Mus musculus: one gene and its partners. The protein of the gene in region 1 purifies or fractionates together with the protein of each later gene. This does not show direct contact. Links are inferred from orthologs where the notes say so. Each region holds a gene or a part of one and is shown in the gene's direction. Other genes may lie near its edges.

Evidence for each region.
Region 2: the proteins of Kat8 (region 1) and Kansl1 purify together in Homo sapiens (affinity purification with western blotting; 4 studies listed by BioGRID and IntAct, with this or other methods). This does not show direct contact. The link is inferred for Mus musculus from reciprocal best matches to the Homo sapiens genes KAT8 and KANSL1.
Region 3: the proteins of Kat8 (region 1) and Phf20l1 purify together in Homo sapiens (affinity purification with mass spectrometry; 3 studies listed by BioGRID and IntAct, with this or other methods). This does not show direct contact. The link is inferred for Mus musculus from reciprocal best matches to the Homo sapiens genes KAT8 and PHF20L1.

The regions. Positions count from the first base shown.
Region 1 is NC_000073.6:127,911,090-127,915,397, forward strand, and holds the start of Kat8 (histone acetyltransferase KAT8), read left to right. Parts: upstream 1-1,427; 5' UTR 1,428-1,442; coding exon 1,443-1,653; intron 1,654-1,669; exon of another isoform or gene 1,670-1,710; coding exon of another isoform or gene 1,711-1,759; intron 1,760-1,924; exon of another isoform or gene 1,925-2,130; intron 2,131-4,138; coding exon 4,139-4,213; intron 4,214-4,289; coding exon 4,290-4,308.
Region 2 is NC_000077.6:104,337,784-104,341,387, reverse strand, and holds part of Kansl1 (KAT8 regulatory NSL complex subunit 1), read left to right. Parts: intron 1-3,140; coding exon 3,141-3,262; intron 3,263-3,604. UniProt on the Homo sapiens protein: Non-catalytic component of the NSL histone acetyltransferase complex, a multiprotein complex that mediates histone H4 acetylation at 'Lys-5'- and 'Lys-8' (H4K5ac and H4K8ac) at transcription start sites and promotes transcription initiation.
Region 3 is NC_000081.6:66,576,046-66,580,399, forward strand, and holds the start of Phf20l1 (PHD finger protein 20-like protein 1), read left to right. Parts: upstream 1-1,526; 5' UTR 1,527-1,802; intron 1,803-4,023; 5' UTR 4,024-4,060; coding exon 4,061-4,143; intron 4,144-4,354.

The DNA.
Region 1 (4,308 bases):
AATTAAGGAAAACACGTGTGTGTGTGTGTGTGTGTGTGTGTGTGTGTGTGTAGAAAGGTGAAGTTAAACAGCAAATTAGACATGTGTTACTCCAATTCATCTACCAATAAGTTTACCTTGAATGCTGCTATATAGCTTATATAAAGCTATGACTTAACCATATGTATATATGGTTTAACCTTTACTGAGTCTCAGAGAATTGGTATTCTGTACTTGGAGGAGTGTCACTACAGATTCTCCAGGCACTGTCTCCCTGCTCAAACCCTTCTTGGCTGGAGATGTTCAGTGGTAGTGTTTGCCTAACATTAATGAAGCTTCGGGTACAATCTCTAGCAGTGCATGAACCTGGTGTGGTGCCATCCTAACCTCAACATTTGAAAGGTGGAGGTTAGACAACCACTCAAGGTTCTCCCTGGCCACGCTCGAGGTTTTTTGTTTTTGTTTTTCAAAGATTTATTTATTTATTATATGTAAATACATGTACACTGTAGCTGTTTTTAGACACTCCAGAAGAGGGTGTCACATCTTGTTATGGATGGTTGTGAGCCACCATGGGGTCTTAACTCGGGACCTTCATAAGAGCAGTCAGTGCTCTTAACTGCTGAGCCATCTCTCCAGCCCCGCTACATGAAATTCTTAAGAGAAAAGAAGTTGCCGGGCAGTGGTGGTGCAGGCCTTTAATTCCAGCACATGGGAGGCAGGGGCAGGCAGATTTCTGGTCTACAGAGTGAGTTCCAGGACAACCAAGGCTACACAGCGAAACCCGGTCTTGAAAAAAAAAGAGAGAGAAAGAGTGAGTAAGTTTATTTTGAAGGTAGTTTATTTGGCACACCTGTTCTTTTCCTGTCTCAACTGGTTTTTGCTCCCACCCTGAGCGAGAGACGCAAATATAGAGTGGGTAGCATATAAAAAGCCCTGGGTTTTGGCCCCAAGCATCCCATAAAACTTAATTCAGTGATAGAGTACAACTGTAATCCCCAGGATACTGCTGCACGTTCAATGAATTTCAGGCTAGCCTCTGAGAACCTTTCTCAAGAAATAGGAATGCTCGCCTTTAATCCCAGCATTCGGGAACCCAAGGCAGGAGGAGCTAGGTCAGCAAGTGTGTAGGCAGCCCGGGCTATGTCACAACAAACAACTCCACAAAAATAGCTAAGTCCGGGTGTGGCGGTGCACGTCTTTAAATACCAGGACTCAAAAGGCAGAAGCAGGTGGATCTCGAGGCCAGTATGGTCTACATAGCGAGTTCCAGGTCAGTTAGGACTGTAATTAGACCCTGTCTCAAGTTGGGCCAATTTTTAGCAACAACAGCCACACGCAGTACGCACAAAACAAAACCTTGCCACGTCACAACCTCCCCACCTCCAACACGCAAGACTATGCCCGCCCCCACTGATCCGGAAATAAAAGCGGCTCTCTGGCCGGTCACTTCCGGCACAGCAATGGCGGCACAGGGAGCTACAGCTGCAGTTGCTGCAACAACTTCAGGAACTGTAGGGGAGGGAGAGCCCGGCCCGGGGGAAAATGCAGCAGTCGAGGGGCCTGCCCGGTCCCCGGGCCGGGTCTCTCCGCCGACTCCGGCGCGTGGCGAACCAGAAGTCACCGTGGAGATCGGAGAAACGTACCTGTGCCGGCGGCCGGATAGCACCTGGCGTGAGGGCGGGGCCCAGGGCCTAGGGGCGGGATTTAGGGAATGGGCATGGCCTAGGAATGGGCGCTCTGTGGGGCTGGGAGTCTTGGGGCCAGGGTGGTGACTCAGGTAAGAAGGCGGGATTTCGGGAGCTGAGAAGCCCACTTTGTAATTGGAGGTTGGAGTCAGGCCATGCTTGTTTTCACCTGTAAAGCCACCAGTCAGCTGAATACAGAGTTGGCCTGTGAACATTCACTCTGGTTCGATTTCAGGCTTCATTTTTTTTTTTTTTTGCTATATCTGTTCCTTCATTGGTGTTTTGTTGTCTGTCTTTACATTTCTCTTGCCCCCTCATCGCCAGCAAAGAGGACAGCCCAGTTCCTAAAAACACGTTTCCTTATCTTCCTTATCTTTTCTTCCTTTTCTTTCCCTCTTCAAAATAAACCTCAAGCTGCTGGCTTCAAAATAAACTCCGAGCTGAGATGGCTCAGGACATAAAGGTATTTGTCACCAAGTCTGGTGATTTGAGTTCTGTCCCCAGGACCCACATGGTAGAAGGAGACAATGATTCTTACTGTTTGCCCTCAGAATCCATATAAGAGTATCCCCCACCCCCTAATACGATAAATACATCTAATTTAAACGAATAAATGTCGGTCATGGTGGCATACACCTTTAATCCCAGCCCTGGGAAGGCTGTGAGTTTGAGGCCAGCCTGGTCTGCATAGCAAGTTCCAGAAGAGCCAGGACTACATAGAGAGACCTTGTCTCAAAACATAATTAAACTCCTTAGACTGGGTTTGTTTGTTTTTTGTTTTGTTTTTTGTTTTTTCGAGACAGGGTTTCTCTGTGTAGCCCTGGCTGTCCTGGAACTCACTCTGTAGACCAGGCTGGCCTCGAACTCAGAAGAAATCCGCCTGCCTCTGCCTCCCAAGTGCTGGGATTAAAGGTGTCTGAGACCTTTCCAGTTTCTAGGCACTTCTAGTAAGGGCTATTGCCAGACCAATCTTGCTCTGCCCGCCAAAACTATGTGTTTATGTGCCTTTTATCACCTGCTCTTGCTATAAGTAATCTCATGTCTTCCTGGCTAGCTCTTACTCATCTCTTAATTTTTGTTTTTTAAAAAGTTATTTATTTATTTTTTATTATTATTTTTAAAATTTATTTATTTATTACATGTAAGTACACTGTAGCTGTCCTCAGACTCTCCAGAAGAGGGAGTCAGATCTCATTCTGGGTGGTTGTGAGCCACCATGTGGTTGCTGGGATTTGAACTTCAGACCTTCGGAAAAGCAGTCGGGTGTCTTACCCACTGAGCCATCTCACCAGCCCCTATTTATTTATTATATGTAAGTACACTGTAGCTGTCTTCAGACACCCCAGAAGAGGGTCTCAGATCTCATTACAGATGGTTATGAGCCACCATGTGGTTGCTGGGATTTGAACTCGGGACCTGCGGAAGAGCAGTCAATGCTCTTAACTACTGAGCCATCTCTCTCGCCCCTAGTCTCTCTTTTTTTTTTATTATTTTTTTTATTTTATTTATTTATTATATGTAAGTACACTGTAGTTGTCTTCAGATACACCAGAAGAGGGCATCAGATCTCATTAAGGGTGGTTGTGAGCCACCATGTGGTTGCTGGGATTTGAACTTCGGACCTTTGAAAGAGCAGTCGGGTGCCCTTACCCACTGAGCCATCTCACCAGCCCCCCTAGTCTCTTTATCTCCTGTGGTGATCCCATTCTAGACCCCTTCAGGCAAAGTCAGTTGCTTGCATGGTCTGGCACGTTTTTCTTTTTCGTACCTCAGCCATACTGGGTTTTTTTGTTTGTTTGTTTTTTGTTTTTTCGAGACAGGGTTTCTCTGTGTAGCCCTGGCTGTCCTGGAACTCACTCTGTAGACCAGGCTGGCCTCGAACTCAGAAGAAATCCGCCTGCCTCTGCCTCCCAAGTGCTGGGATTAAAGGTGTGCGCCACCACACCCGGCAGCCATACTGTTAAAATTATCTGCCTTTCTCTGTCAATGGGAAAACACTAGAGAACAAGATCTCTTGTGATTCCTCACTGTATCTTCTCACTGTGGCCAGCATTACATAGTGGAGCGCCAGACGAGCATTAATTTCTAGACATCTCTGCATCTGTCCCTGTGCTACAGACTAAAGCATGGTCACCCTTTTAGGTATTCTCCAGATGAAGGAACTAAAGCTCAGAAAGTCAAACCATGGGGCTACAGTCATTTAGGAAATGTGAAGGAAGCTTAAACTGTCTTAATCCCCAGCCAGCTCTCATGGCCCCCAAATGAGTGAATGAGCACTGACTTTGGAGGTAGTCTTAAACATGCTTAAATACCAGGTTTTCTCAGTTTTCAAATCTCTGGTCCTCTGTAACACCCCCTGTACCTCCCCCAAGTCCTAACCTGGCTCACCTTACAGGGTAAATGGCAGGTGTGGACAGATGGATCTGGAAATTACCCCTCAGATCCCCCCCCCTTTTTTTTTTTCTTGACAGATTCAGCAGAAGTGATCCAGTCTCGAGTGAATGACCAGGAAGGCCGAGAAGAATTCTATGTTCACTATGTGGGCTGTGAGTGCCTGGGGCCCTGGGGCCTGGGTGGAAGGAGGGAGGCAGTCAGTCAGTCCCTCACGGTGCGTCCTAACAGTTAACAGGCGACTGGACGA
Region 2 (3,604 bases), on another chromosome or scaffold:
TTCCCAAGGTTGTGTGTGTTTCATAAGGTGAGACAGTTTGAGGGGTGTGATTGTGATTCAAACCCTTGTAGTCTGACTACAAGGTCAGCTCTCTGACCAGTACATCACACAGCCTTGGCCTGAGATGGGGTGTCAGAGAAGCTCTAAGCTCACAAAATGTGCTCACTACGCTCCTGGAATCAGGTACAAATTCACATTGTTCTTTGGTCTTACAGAGAGCCTCTTCCAAATAGCCTTCTTCCTTCACCTTCTCGTCTCAAAGACTCTGTCTGAATAGGTGTATAGTATTCCTCACACACTAGCCAAGGGTTTCACATAATCAGACAGAGAGAAGAGTAATGAGAGTAATTCTCATTTAAAAACAACAGAACCATGGACTCGAAGGTTAAGGACTTGGTAAATCTGTCTGTCTGTCTCTTTCTTTCTTTCTTTCTTTCTTTCTTTCTTTCTTTCTTTCTGTCAGCCCTGATGATTCTGGAGAGTGGTGACTTAGACCATTTAGAATTAACTTACTAAATGCATATTTTATGCATAGCGTGCTAATGTTTTAGCCCCTGCCCCCACCCCACCCTTTTTTGACAAGGTTCCTCTATATAGTCCTATAGTTCACTGGCTCAAAATTCACAGAAATCCTCCTGCATCTGCTTCCCAAGTGCTGGGGTTAAAGACATTTGCCACACCCAGCTCCTTTTGGGCTCTTATTGCCTCATTTATTCAGGGAATCAAGATTTATTGAATAATGAGCAGAGTGATATGCCAAATTTAGGTTGATAAGCAAGATGGTAACAGGATGGTCTTTCAACACATTGTGATTATTTTGTGTGCATCTTGAAATCCTGTTAATTTTAAAAAATACTTAGCAAATTTTAAAAATCAGACATACCAAAAAAAAAAAAAAGCCGGGTGTGGTGGCGCACGCCTTTAATCCCAGCACTTGGGAGGCAGAGGCAGGAGGATTTCTGAGTTCAAGGCCAGCCTGGTCTACAGAGTGAGTTCCAGGACAGCCAGGGCTACACAGAGAAACCCTGTCTCGGGGGGAAAAAAAAAATCAGACATACAGTAACACTTAGGGTAGGATTGAGCAGGAGGAGCATGAGTTTTGCAGCTCAGGCTACATACATAGTTAAGACCACCCAAAAGATACTTAAATAGAGGGGGAAAGGCCAGATTCTTTGTTTGTTTCTGTTGTAAATGAGTGCTAGCAGAAGGGGGTGTAGAAGCAGAGGGTGCAGGCTAGAGGCCTGAGAAGTACCGGAGAAATACATAGCTCTTTCTAGCAGGAGCTTCGTTCTTGACTAAGAGAGGAAGAGCTGTCTCTCCCAAGGCTCCTTCAAGATTCATTTCTTGTGTGGATCAGAGAACTTAAGCCAAGGTGTAACAGTAACAGAAGCCTTTGGGTCACTAACGCTCACTCATAGAACTCAGCTGGATAAGGTTTCCAAAAATCTCAACCATTTCTGAGGTCAATGACTGTTTAGTCTTGCTGATATAGGATAAATTTTAAAATATGATGACCTGAAATCATTCATGACACCATCTGAAAATCTGTGTTTTAATATTCTTATAGTGTCCTAAGATAATGAAATGAATAGATTATCTCACCTTCCAAAGAGGTACAATAGTTGATTAGGGGGTAGTAGCTTATCTTTCTTACTAACCCTCCCAGTGGGCTGACCACACTTGGTGGTCTGGGTATGACCTCTTGGGTGTTTCCAGCTGTATTGTTGCCATGACAACATATTTGTCATCCCACTGTTTCCCTATTACCTCTTATAGCTCAGTTAACAGGCTGTTTCAGAACAAGGTATTTGCTCTCTGGGCAGAAGCAGCTAATAGAGATTTTCTTCTGTCTAGGAGACTCAATCGTTTGGCTCGCTGCTTTATTCACTCTGTTTGTTTTTTGTTTTTGGTTTTTTGTTTTGGTTTTTCGAGACAGGGTTTCTCTGTGTAGCCCTGGCTGTCCTGGAACTCACTCTGTAGACCAGGCTGGCCTCGAACTCAGAAATCTGCCTGCCTCTGCGTCCCAAGTGCTGGGATTAAAGGCATGTGCCACCACGCCTGGCTGTCTGTTTTTTTTTTTTTTAAAGACAGAGTCTTTCTATGTAACTCTGGCTTTTCTAGAACTTGCTGTGTAGACCAGGCTAACCTTAAACTCAACAAAGATCTGTCTGTATCTGCCTCTCACTCAAGTGCTGGGATTAAAAATGTGTATAGCACTACACCTGGTTTTATTCATTTCTAGTGTCCTAACATAGATGCCCAACTCTGCTTCTGTTAGACCCTTGGAAATATTATTTCCCCAAAGATTTAATGTTCTCACTTACTGTGGAAACACATCTTCTTGGGGTGGAAGCTATAGACTGGTCCTTCTTTTCAGTTTCCTTCCACTCTTCTCTTTCCCCAAAATAATAGAAAGATGAGAGTTATGTGGGGGCTGAGAAGGTGGTTGGTACAGACTTAGCTGAGGAGTTGAGATCTTCAAGAGGGAAGGTGTTGTCACAGCAGCTAAGGTAAAGTGGTTTGTTAAGGTGGGCTTACTCTTTTAGCCTCTTTTCTGGTAAAAAGAATTTAGTGCTTTTAATATAATTAGTTACCATTGTTCCAAGGGTAGCTCTTAGCCACAGAGCTATCTTTCCAGCTCTAAAACAAGGATTTTAGATTTTAAAAAAAGAGGAATGTTAAAGCCGGGCAGTAGTGGCACAGTGGATTCTAACTTTGAGGTAAGCCTCGTCTCCAGAGTGAGTGAGTTCCAGGACATGAAGGGCTATCTAGAGAAACCCTGCCTCAAAAACAAAAAACAAACAAAAAAAGGAATGTTAATAGAATGAAGTAATAGGAACTCCATCACCACCACTACCACCAAATTGGCTTAAAATCTAGAATACCCACGTATAAGAATCTAGTGAAGGAGAAGGGTGGTTATGGAGAGTGCCTTGTGAATGGGGTTTACTCCTTGGGGCTGCCGCACATGCAGCCGTACATGTGCACCCGAAGACCTCTGCTTCCAAAGAGTTTAGATACACTGCTGTGGTGGCCACTGCTACCCAAGGACCTGTGTGTATGGTCATTCTATCATATGACTAATGGTTTTAAATTTGTGACTTTGTACCTCCCTTGAAACTTAAACTTTTATCTTACAGCAGCCAGTGAGGAGGAGAAGGGGAGAGAGCTCATTTGATATTAACAACATTGTCATCCCAATGTCTGTTGCTGCAACAACTCGTGTTGAGAAACTACAATACAAAGAAATCCTTACTCCAAGGTATGAAGAAGACCTGTTTTACTCGGCTCCTCCTCCTTCTTCTCTTTCTCTTCTGACCAAGCAGTCCCTATCCTTGAGTTGAGTTGTTTGCTTGCTCTTTCTTCCTTCCTTCCTTCCTTCCTTCCTTCCTTCCTTCCTTCCTTCCTTCCTTCCTTTCTGATTTTATTTATTATTATACATAAGTACACTGTCGCTGTCTTCAGACGTGCCGGAAGAGGGCGTCAGGTCTCCTTATGGGTGGTTGTGAGCCACCATGTGGTTGCTGGGATTTGAACTCAGGACCTTTGGAAGAGCAATCAGTGCTCTTACCCGCTGAACCTTCTCACCAGCCCAAGTTGTTTT
Region 3 (4,354 bases), on another chromosome or scaffold:
TTCCATATTCTGCACATTGCTAGCATCTTTAAATACAAATTTTAAAACAATATAGTTTAAATAGCATTTAAAGTGAGACCTATAGCCTCAAGGGGGACTAAATTCATTAGATTCTAATATTTTCATCCCATCTAATGAAGGGTTGACACTTCTTCATTAAATTTAGATTAGACTCTGAAACAAATGATCCTGATTTATAAATATATGTTTTTTATTTGACAACATTATACATTTTATTGTTTAAATCAAGTGTTGTTTTAAATTGCATGTTTGTTTTAGGTGATCCATAATTCCTACAGTCATCCTAGTGTATCAAGGACTTCTACTGCTAAAACAGTAATTATTGCAAACATTGTAAATCACAGTACTGGGGGACAAAAATATTTTAGAACTGTCTTCTTGCATTGGCATTTTCTTGTGTGTGTGATCTTACTTGTATTCTAATTTTACAGCAAATTAAATAACCGTACATAATATTTTAAAAGTGGAAAGTATAATTCTGCCTGTGACAGAAAAAAGATTCTAGAAATAATAGAAATATTAATTGTATTGGACCAATGAGAACCACAGAGGATTAAAAAGAAGAACATAAAGACAAATATCATCTCAGAACTGTCTTATTCGCATTGTTTGTAGCATCACTAAGCTCAGTATAACTCTGCAACTATTAGATATATATTTCTTGAATGAATGTCTTTTGAATAAAAGGATGATTATGAAGATTTTCTCAATTTACCAAATCTCTTGAAAGTCAGAGAAAACATTTCTATTTTCACTGTACACGATGAAGCAAGATAAATATAAGTGTCATTTGTATGCAGTGATGCACTTTTAAAACGTGGGAGGCAGAGTGATGGAGTGGGGAAAAAAATAGATGTTTTCTCTCAGTAGCACTTTGAATGATAACTTGTAGATCTTCTCAAAGTTGGGATAGGGATTCTCCTGCTTAATATAGACTTTGGTACATGGTAGGTGTTCAACAGAGGTAGTCCTATACTATTAATTGTGAAGACTTGTTCTATTAGTACCCTAAACTTCTTAGGAATTTTTAAAGATTCTTAAGAATCTTTTATTTGTTTTATAAAGATTTCTGAATTTGGAAAGTAGTATAAGTGTGCAGTTTTGATTGTCATGTGATATATTTATAGCAGAGTGTCGTGACAAAGTATCCATTCAAAAGAGACAATTCTGATTTTGTAATACAGATCATTGTGTCTGTCCTTAACGTGGGATAGAACAGACACGGTGAAAAGTGTGTGGTGCATTGACAAGTTTGCCCAATGTGTCAAGTAGTGGGATTTGTTAGAAACCAGCAACAATCACAAAAGGCCACCATCCTCTTGACCCCACCAAGGGGAATCTAGAGCCCAGGTCTTTTCTATGTGTAAGTAGCCCAGCCTGGCCGAAGCCCCACCCCCAGAATAGTCCTCCAATCGGCTGCGCCGCGCCAGCCCGGCCCTCGCGTACCACGTGACTCAACCCAGCCCGCTTCCGGCGCGTCGCGGGCGGCTGACGTCCCCGGCCGGCGTCGCGTCAGGGCTGGCCGGCGGCGGTGGTGGCTGCGGAGGCGGCAGCGGCGGCAGCGACGGCGGCTGCGATGGTAGCGGAGCCGGAGTGGGCTTGAGGGCTTCCTCCCGCGTTTCCTCGGGCCGACGCGGCGCCGCGGGCCCGGCTCACTCGGCTCCCGCTCCCTCCCTTGCTGCTGCCCGGGCAGACTCGAACGAGGCCCGCGCTGGCCTCCCTGACGCGCCCCGGCTCGGCCCCGGACGGCCCGGCTGCTGTGCGGAGACGAGGCCGAGTCGGTAAGAGGCGGCGGAGGGGCCTGGAAGCTGCCGGGTCCCCGGGCTGCGCTCGCGCCCGCGTTGCTCTCGGCCGGCGTCCCGCTCCCTGCCATCCGCTGACCCTATTGTCTGCGCGCCGCCGCGCTACCCCCGCCTTCCTTCCCTTGCCGGGCCGGCGGCTGTCAACCTGCAGCTCCCGGGCTCCGGGCCAGCCGCGCCGCGGCCTTTCCTGGCTCCCCTTGACACCCCTGCGAGCCCGCCTCGTCCCCTCTGCTTAGCTTCGCGGTCTTTCCCTCACCGCTCTCTAGCTCTGTGTGTCTGTCTCTTTCCTCTCACTGTCATCTCTGCAAACTTCCACCATCCTTACAACGAACTCTTTTTTACCGCTTTCTGGTCTTTTTTCATTTCTCTTTTTGTTTCCTTCTCCCCTTTCTCGCTCCCTGTTCCACAGTTTCACTTTAAGGGTCTGTCCAATAGATTGTCTTTCGTAAAAGTTCCTAATTCTGCCGCCTCCCTCATTCTCCTGTCTCCTCACAAGAGAATGGAAATCGTCCCTGCCTTTTGAGGTCCTCATTCCTGAGAGTCACGGGGGATTAGATTTACAGGCTGGAAGTTTGATCTTAGGAAATGTTAGCATAACTGGCAAACTGCCTCTTCGGATTCTATTTCTGTACATTGAAGTAACAGCCTTGTATGTTGCACACTTACAAGATTTCTATTTAAAATATTTATGTTTGTTCCCATTACACCTAGTGTGTCCTGGCTATGAATCTTAACCTCACTGATGCCATGTCAGGATATTCTATATCCCCTTAGGCACGACCTTGTAAACTTGATCCCCCATATTTTTGTAACAAGCGTTGATGCTATTTCTTTTCTTCCCTTTTCAGATTAAAAAAAAAAAAAAAAAACAGGAAGGGACATTTGGAATTCTGTTTGCTCTTAAGTTTTACCTGTTTTAAACAGTGGCTAAAACATTATAAGATTTTTCGTTTGTGTGGGGATTTTTCATTTGTGTGGTGTTTATTTTTTTTTTTTTTAAGCTAGAAAGATCCTAGTGAGTAGTAATGTAAGAACATGTTCTAAGCATCTCCCTCCAACAAGAGCAGCGTTAGATTCCTGGTCCCCAACCCGTTGTATTTTGATAAGACCGTGCTTGCCAGTTATTATTTTCATTCCACTATTGATACCTTGAGAATATATGCATTCTCTTCAAATACTCGGTAGTCAAAAAGGCTGCACGTGTGCTAGGCAAGCCAGTGTGGCCAAAAGATCATTAAATACTTAATGTAAATGGGCTATAGTGAAGTATAGTGAAGTAACGACTCCTGCAGGTTTTTTTTTTTTTTTTTTTTTTAATTGTCATTATGGGCACAATGTTGAGTTAATAATAGAAACCTTACCCAGAGTCTGGCATAATTTGATTATGAAATGTGAAATTTAAGAAAAATCACTTGAAGCCGGGCGTGGTGGGGCATGCCTTTAATCCTAGCACTCGGAATCTCAGCACTCGGAATCCCAGCACTCAGGAGGCAGAGGCAGGCGGATTTCTGAGTTTGAGGCCAGCCTGGTCTACAAAGTGAGTTCCAGGACAGCCAGGGCTACACAGAGAAACCCTGCCTCGAAAAAAAAAAGAAAGAAAGAAATAAAGAAAGAAAAAGAAAACTCATTTGCAAGTCTTTATGTTAAAATGATGCTATGGTGTGCTGTTGAGATAGTATGCACTAACTACCCTGATTTTCCAGAAAGGTTGGTGAGACTCCTCCCTGACACAGTGCTTGTCTGCTGCTTTCTCCACGGGTTGTATGTTCTGACATACTAAATGATTTCTGGAAATTAAGTGGAAGACAATTAAGCTGCTCCCTTCAACAGTTTCAGTAAACACAAGTGTCTTCATTTTAAAACTCACAGTGTTTTCAGCCTTCCCTGGGTGGCTCTTTCCTGAGCATTTTTTTTTTTTTTTTGTCAGCTAAGGTTTGAGGCATTTTAGCTATTAGTCTTACTAGCTGTCGCTTCTCTTTAGCTGTTTTTCCTTTCTGTATTTATCTTTTATAAATGCCCTACCAAAATTTCCTTCATGTTGCATCCTACCTATAAGCTTTAGTGATTGTTCAATTAAAAGTCTGGCAAATATTGTAACGTCCCATGTATTATTTTGAAAATTAGTTAAATTCTGTCCCTTTAAACCGTATTCCATGTGCATCTCATGCGTTAGGATCTAACTTTCTTTTTTCCTCTTGAGGTAGTGGAAAGAAAATACTGAAGAATAGGATCTCAAGATGAGTAAAAAGCCCCCAAATCGTCCTGGAATCACTTTTGAGATTGGTGCTCGTTTGGAGGCACTGGACTACTTACAGAAATGGTATGGAAAATAACAGAATATTGACCCAAAATTTGTAGCTTTAATAAGTCACTTGCTATTCTAACCACATGTCAGTCGCATTAGTGTATTCATCCCTGAATACACATACACATTGGGTTTAGGGTTAGCATTTAAATACTTCATTGTACAGTGCTTTAGCTGTTTGAGATTTGAAAGTGTTTGTCTAGAGTAAAGGGCAGATAGAGAGGAT